Linked DNA regions of Ovis aries. The protein of the gene in region 1 interacts with the protein of each later gene in a pairwise test. Links are inferred from orthologs where the notes say so. Each region holds a gene or a part of one and is shown on either strand. Other genes may lie near its edges. The genes, in order: PNKP and ZNF639.

Region 1 (3,915 bases):
CCCTCTCATTGGTTACATCCCACAACTGCCTGCCAATCAAACCCGTCCTTGCATCCAGGACGTTACCAGCTCCCGCCCCTCTCCCCCACCCCCACAGGTGCCTTAAAGGGCTCTCGTCCACCCAAGGTGGGGGGCAGGGGGCCTCACTCTCCGGCCCTGGCGTAGGGGAGAGAGTCGGGGGTGGGGATTGGGAGTTGGGAGGGGCGCTCTGAGATTAAAGAGTTTTACCTCTGACAAATGAATATGAAGTGTGTTCTGGGTATTCATTCACAATTTTTCGAAGCCAAATGAGCAGGTCTCATTGCTTCTCCACGCGAAGTTGGGAATTGAACTCGTCCCCATTTCACAGACAAGAAAAGGTAGATACACAGGGTGGAAGAAAAGATTCCATTCCTGTGTGATAGTGGAATCCCAATCTTCAGGGCTGTAAATTTCGGAATGAGAATAGTTTTGAGTCGGTCTCCTGAGCCCACATGCTGCTGTTGCTAAGTCGCTTCAGTCTTGTCCGACTCCGTGCGACCCCCATAGACGGCAGCCCACCAGACTCTTCCATCCATGGGATTTTCCAGGCAAGAGTACTGGAGTGAGGTGCCATTGCCTTCTCAGCTGAGCCCACGTAGTTCCCAGGAAAAGCCAGGAACCCCCAGCTGAGGCCGGGTTTCGGACTAAGACAGCTGGAGGTAAAAGAACAAATGGCTTCTGGTCTGAGGATGCAAAGGCGGAATCCCCGTCTCCCATCAGATCACCACCGATGGAATGCTAACAACAGACAAGACTTCAACAGGGTAAACTATTACCTAGACACCTTTACAAATTATTTACATGTACTAACTCAACGTTCCTTGTAACCCCACAAAGTGGAAACGATTATCCTCACACTAGATGAGAAAACTGCAGTACTGCTGTCTCGGCGGGATTTCGTCAACTGACAATAACCTTAAAGAGAATTTCCTCCCGCTGTAACTATCTCCGGCAAAAGAAATGAAACAAAACTTCAACGCGGAAAGAAAATCTGTGAGCATGGAATCCACTCCCCTCTACTGGCCTGAGTCTCATACTGCAGCAGAGGAGATGAAGGTCAGAGCTGCAGAAGTACCGCAGGGTTCCTGGGCCTGAAGGGGCGGGGCTTAAGCTGCAGCTGCGCCAATGCCCCGCCCACTTCGGTAGCAAGAGTCATTTCCGTGGGCGGAGAGACAGCAGCCAGCCGAGTCGCAGGCACAGCGCCTCCGGCAAGACGTCCCCGGTCGGAAGTGGCGAATGAACCAAGCGGTGGGCAGGGGTGAGCGTGGGGCCGAGGCAAGAGCGCGAATTTTTCGGCCTTTGCCCTGGAAAGCAGGGTCGAGGCTCCCAGAGGTAGAGTGGGGCGTCGTCGCCTGGGAAACCAAACTATCCTGAGGCCGATGAGTGGGTGGGACTTCCGGAACCTTTAGCGGAAGAAAGGAATTCCTAGTGGAGACGGCGGAAGGAGGCGGGACTTCCTGTAGCGACTGAGAGATGCCACTCAAACCTGTTTCCCTATTTCCCCTTAGGCCGACTCCCAGAATGGCCAGGGTGGAGGCCCAGGGTCGCCTGTGGCTGGAGAGCCCCGCTGGGGGAGCGCCTCCCATCTTCCTGCCCCCAGGCGGGCAAGCTCTGGTCCTGGGCCGGGGACCCTTGACTCAGGTTACCGACCGGAAGTGCTCCCGAAACCAGGGTAGGCGGGGCGGGGCCTGAGCTGGACCGGGTGGTGTGGCGTGCTTAAGGAGCGGGAACACAGGCAGTTGGAAAGATAGACAGGAGGGGATATGCTTGGCCACCATGCGGAACTGTGTGGTGCGGCCAGTCCCGAAGTTGGTAGGTGCCCCCTGTGGAGAGCACAGAAAGAAAAAGGGTGCTTGACCTGGATTTAGCCAGACACCTTGAACGGGAACGGATGGAGTCCATCCCGAGACACTTGTCACTGGGCAGAGAAGGATACTCACAAGTTGCCGCGAAGACTTGAATGAGGCCACGACCCTTGTTAAGCAGAGAGCCGGTTCTGTGGAGAAAAGTGCATATTGCTAAGCAGAGATGGGTGGTAGCGGGCCAAGCCCGGAATCTGCATCTTGTCAAGGCCCTACATTGTCAAGGAGAAGCCATTTCTACACAGAAAAATACCTGTTGTCTCCCTAGGCGAGGACTAGTGTCCCAGGCAATTGTAAGGCCTTTATCTGGCTCCTGCATGTCAAGGAGCGAGCCAGTCCTACTTAGAAAATAAACTGCTTCCTCCTGCCGAATGGGTGCTGTGGCCCCATCCTGTGGTTTGAAGCGGGGCATGCTCCCCAGTAAAGAGAGAAGCAGTCACCCAAGGATTCAGATGCTGACTCCACCCCTTCAATCTTCAGTGGAGCTGGTCGCTGACCCTGAGACTCGGACGGTGGCAGTGAAACAGGTACCGATTCCTTAACAAGAGGCAGCAGGACTGGGGGTGAGGATGGAGGGTACGGAGAATTGTCACCCAGCGGGGAACGGGCCCAATTGGGAAAATCAGACTGGGAGGGGAACAGGTGTGGCCCGCTGCAATCGGGTAAACATTGATCCCCGTTTAAATTGGGTAAGACGGGACGAGGCTAATCTTCCCAGAGCCTGATTGGCGGTACACGGTGAAGAGGCGGGACTCAAGGGTCTGATTGGCTGGTGGAGAAAGGCGAGTCCTTTTTCGGGTTATTTGATTGGAGAAGGTTGTCGGGGGTGGGGCCAGCACCAGTTACCGCCTCTCTACAGCTGGGAGTTAACCCCTCAACTGCCGGGACCCAGGAGCTGAGACCGGGTTTGAAGGGCGCTCTGAGGGTGGGGGACACGCTGTATTTGGTCAATGGCCTCCACCCGCTGACCCTGCGCTGGGAAGAGGCCCTCACTCCAGAATCCCAGCCAGACACTCCACCCAGCACCCCTCCTGTGACCCGAGAGGGAGAGGAGGAAAATGTTGAGCAGCAGAAAAAGCAGATAAGGAAGTCATCCCCTGGCTGGGAGACCTTCGAGAAGCTGCTGGTGTTCACAGCACCTGGTGTGAAGCCTCGGGGCAAGGTGAGGCCCAAGCTGAAGACAGCTCTAGCACAGTCCAGTCAACACCCAAACAAAACTTAGTTCATATTTGGATTTTCATGGTTATTAGTCCCCTGAAGTGAAAATAGGCCATGGAAGGAGGCTGGGTCGGATACAAAACCCATTTTAAAGATTGAAATACTGAGGGGCTCAGGAGGAGTGGGAGGTGGTAGAGAAGATTTCACTCTGCTGTCCGGGTGGCATCCTGTCCTTACAGAACATGGGTAGGCCAGCTGTGACTCGGTTTCCCCATCTGTAAGGGGCGGGCGCTCATAGTCCCAGCTTGCAGAATTGACGCGAACCAGCCTGCGAGCTAGGTGGCCCAGAGGTGTAACAGTGCTGCTCTTTTTTCTGGGTGACGCCAGGTGGCTGGTTTTGATCTGGACGGGACCCTCATCACCACACGTTCTGGGAAGGTCTTCCCCACTAGCCCCAGTGACTGGAGGTGATTGAAGGCAGTAGGAGAGGGTGGTGAGGTGCATCCGGGCCCCAGGTCACCTTGCGCTTCCTCGCCCGCACTAGGATCTTGTACCTAGAGATTCCGCGGAAACTCCGGGAACTGGCCGCTGAGGGTTACAAGGTGTGTACTCCGTAGGGGCCGGCTCACAAGGCGGGCCCGGGCCTGATGAGGAAAGGCCGGGGTGACACCCCATCTCCTTCACAGCTGGTGATCTTCACCAACCAGATGGGCATCGGGCGCGGAAAGCTGCGAGCGGAGGAGTTCAAAGCGAAGGTGGAGGCTGTGGTGGAGAAGCTGGGGGTCCCCTTTCAGGTATGGCTGCATGGGAGGCTGAAGGACTATGTAGAGGGACAGAGAGGCTGAGACAGAGGCCAGAGATTGCGTGGTGGGCC
Region 2 (3,815 bases), on another chromosome or scaffold:
TGCACCATCTCACATGCTAGTAAAGTAATACTAAAAATCCTCCAAGCCAGACTTCAGCAATACGTGAACCGTGAACTTCCAGATGTTCATGCTGGTTTTAGAAAAGGCATAGAAACCAGAATTAAAGTGCCAGCATCTGTTGGATCATCGAAAAAGCAAGAGAGTTCCAGGAAAACATCTATTTCTGGTTTATTGACTATGCCAAAGCCTTTGACTGTGTGGATCACAATAAATTATGGAAAATTCTGAAAGAGATGGGAATACCAGACCACCTGACCTGCTTCTTGAGAAACCTGTATGCAGGTCAGGAAGCAACGGTTAGAACAGGACATGGGACAGACTGGTTCCAGATAGAAAAAGGAGTAGGTCAAGGCTGTGTATTGTCACCCTGCTTACTTAACTTCTATGCAGAGTACATCATGAGAAACGCTGGGCTGGAAGAAGCACAAGCTGGAATCAATATTGCCAGGAGAAATATAAGCAACCTCAGATATGCAGATGACACCACTCTTATGGCAGAAAGTGAAGAGGAACTAAAGAGCCTCTTGATGAAAGTGAAAGAGGAGAGTGAAAAAGTTGGCTTAAAGCTCAATATTCAGAAATCTAAGATTATGGCATCCGGTCCCATCATTTCATGGCAAATAGTTGGGGAAACAGTGTCAGACTTTATTTTTCTGGGCTCCAAAATCACTGCAGATGGTGATTACAGCCATGAAATTAAAAGACACTTACTCCTTGGAAGGAAAGTTATGACCAACCTAGACAGCATATTGAAAAGCAGAGACATTACTGTGTCAACAAAGGTCCTTCTAGTCAAGGCGATGGTTTTTTCCAGTAGTCATGTATGGATGTGAGAGTTGGACTGTGAAGAAAGCTGAGCGCTGAAGAATTGATGCTTTTGAACTGTGGTGTTGGAGAAGACTCTTGAGAGTCCCTTGGACTGCAAGGAGATCCAACCAGTCCATCCTAAATGAGATCAGTCCTGGGTGTTCATTGGTAGTTATGATGTTGAAGCTGAAACTCCAAAACTTTGACCACCTGATGCAAAGAGCTGACTCATTTGAAAATACCCTGATGCTGGGAAAGATTGAGGGCAGGAGGAGAAGGGGATGACAGAGGATGAGATGGTTGGATGGCATCACCGACTCAATGGACATGGTTTGGGCGGACTCTGGGAGTTGGTGATGGACAGGGAGGCCTGGCGTGCTGCAGTTCATGGCCTTGCAAAGAGTCGGACATAACTGAACTGAACTGTGGCTTCAAAACTGTCCAAATATTCCCAACTGTAAGAAACATACCTATAAAACTCTTTTTTTGGTATCATAGGTACAATTTTTCTTTTATAGAAAATAAGCATTCAGTTCAGTTCAGTTGCTCAGTCGTGTCTGACTCTTTGCAACCCCATGAATCGCAGCATGCCAGGCCTCCCTGTCCATCACCAACCCCTGGAGTTCACTCAAACTCACATCCATCGAGTCGGTATTGCCATCCAGCCATCTCATCCTCTATCGTCCCTTTTTCCTCCTGCCCTCAATCGCTCCCAGCATCAGGGTCTTTTCCAATGAGTCAAATCTTCACATGAGGTGACCAGAGTACTGGAGTTTCAGCTTTAGCGTCATTCCTTCCAAAGAACACCCAAAACTGTTCTCCTTTAGAATGGACTGGTTGGATCTCCTTGCGGCTTATGTAATTATTCAGTTTTCACAATTACATCAACATTTGAAACGTTCTCAACCTCAGGAAGAAAGAAAACAGAACACAGCCTTTAAACTTGATCAGAAAAGTAATTTTAAAATATAAGCCAGATTGTTTAACATTTCTCTCTTGAAGTCGATTTTTATGACACATTTCCTATCGCCAGCCAATTTTTTTATTAGAAGAAATTTGCATAACAATATTAACACTTGTTATTTGTGATGTATTTGTTAAATTTTTCCATTTTTTAGATTAAAAAGATATGAATGAATATCCTAAAAAAAGAAAAAGGAAGACTTTACATCCTTCTCGTTATTCAGGTCAGTGTACGATTAAATTATTTAAAAGTTAGGCCGTGTTCAATTCTCATGCAGTTGTGTTTCCATCCATTTTCTCATAAATGATCTGATTAGAGTTAAATATCTGGGTGAACTTTTAGCTAAGAGGAAACTGTAAGTAAATTCTCTCAAAATATATTTCTCAATATCTGCTGTATGCTAGGCATACATCAGAATTTCACAGACATTTATTTTAATTCTCACAACTTCATAGTTTATAGATATTTAAGATTAGATATCCAAGTTACATACTTACATAGCATAATTGAGATTTGCCTGTGTTTCCCAAGCTTGTGCTTAAGTCTTAATAATAACCTTGATGGAAGTAATTTTCCATCATTGGAAAAAAACTTTATCCTGTACATTATTTTCAGAAATGTTTTAAGTTTCATTTTGATTATATGACTTTAGATCTTTTCTTTGAGTATGGCTCTACTATCTTGGCAAATAAGAGGTCTTGACCTCTTATGCTATGCACATGTATACTTGGGGCTGTCTCAGGTATACCTGGTAACCAACCCAGCCTACTTGTTTTTCATATCTGAGGAAATTAAACCTGGTCTACCTAACTGGCCCTTCCGAGGCAAGAGTTGAAATGACTGTCTTCAGAAGCCCTAACTGGTCCTCAGACCTTCCTCTGTGTATTATGCTTTCTCTGCAGTACATGGCAGATCTGCTTGGTAGTTAATTCAGTGTTTTTTGCAATTAACACATTTATTACATATTCATATTTTGTGGGACTCTTGACCATGAAAATTATATCTTAGTGTGTTTCTAAGTATTATATTTTAAATTGTATAATTTATGGTTATTTCAAGGCTCAAAGTCAATATCTGAATTATGAAAGCCTTCAGAATTCAAGAAAATATTAATACCTTATTACAATACTATGAAAATGTATTTATGTTGGATAAAGAGATGGCTGTCATTAGATGTTTATGTGTACGGTGTGCTTGAAAATTTTTTAATTTTGTTTTATGTTCAGATTCCTCTGGAATAAGCAGAATTGCAGATGGATTCAATGGAATTTTTTCTGATCATTGTTACAGTGTTTGTTCTATGAGACAACCGGACTTAAAATATTTTGACAACAAAGGTATATTTAAATTTTCCAAAATATTTTCATTCAAATTGCTTTTATAATTTTTCATTTCCTATTTGAAAATGTGGGTGAAAGTGATGATTTCAAAATGAGCAAGTATCTAAACTTGTTTTAAGAAAACAAGAGACTTTTGGGTAAGTGAATTTTAATTTTTAACATCATTTCAAACATATACATCAAAAACACATCCTCCTCTATCAGTTTTAGTCAGCTAGGAATTCGTGGCGAAGCAGGAGTGACCCAGAGTTTTGAGTATTTATGATGAAAAGTTAAGAATAGTGGTATTTCCGGGAGTTCCCTGATGGTCCAGTGGTTAAGACGCTGTACTTCCACTGCAGGGGGGTGCAGGTTTAATCCCTGGTTAGAGGGCTAAGATCCTAAGTGCCGTGTAGAGTGGAAAAAAAAAAAACCCCACACAGAAAGAACAGTGTTACACACAGTTGTTCTGCTCAGCTGCGTTTCTGTTTGGAGGGCTAATGGAAGGAAAGAACACAAGGTGAAGGATGTGGTCGTTTAAAGAACATTCAGTCAGAGACATCAGTATGAGCTCATATTTGGCTTAATATAGACACAGTTACATACAGAAACATTTATGGGATGTCAGTATATTTGTAGTAGTGCACATGCACGTATTTTCTGCTCTGTTAACTGAGAGTCTAACAGAAATAACATCCCAGTAG

Evidence for each region.
Region 2: the proteins of PNKP (region 1) and ZNF639 interact in binary tests that used the Homo sapiens proteins (3 or more experiments, as listed by UniProt). The two-hybrid records come from large-scale screens. The link is inferred for Ovis aries from reciprocal best matches to the Homo sapiens genes PNKP and ZNF639.

What each region holds. Positions count from the first base shown.
Region 1 is NC_056067.1:55,947,171-55,951,085, reverse strand, and holds the start of PNKP (bifunctional polynucleotide phosphatase/kinase), read left to right. Parts: upstream 1-1,165; 5' UTR 1,166-1,353; exon of another isoform or gene 1,354-1,529; 5' UTR 1,530-1,542; coding exon 1,543-1,693; exon of another isoform or gene 1,694-2,017; intron 2,018-2,136; exon of another isoform or gene 2,137-2,363; coding exon 2,364-2,410; exon of another isoform or gene 2,411-2,512; intron 2,513-2,742; coding exon 2,743-3,045; intron 3,046-3,428; coding exon 3,429-3,508; intron 3,509-3,585; coding exon 3,586-3,643; intron 3,644-3,727; coding exon 3,728-3,835; intron 3,836-3,915. UniProt on the Homo sapiens protein: Plays a key role in the repair of DNA damage, functioning as part of both the non-homologous end-joining (NHEJ) and base excision repair (BER) pathways.
Region 2 is NC_056054.1:208,553,382-208,557,196, reverse strand, and holds part of ZNF639 (zinc finger protein 639), read left to right. Parts: intron 1-1,946; 5' UTR 1,947-1,957; coding exon 1,958-2,015; intron 2,016-3,018; coding exon 3,019-3,129; intron 3,130-3,815. UniProt on the Homo sapiens protein: Binds DNA and may function as a transcriptional repressor.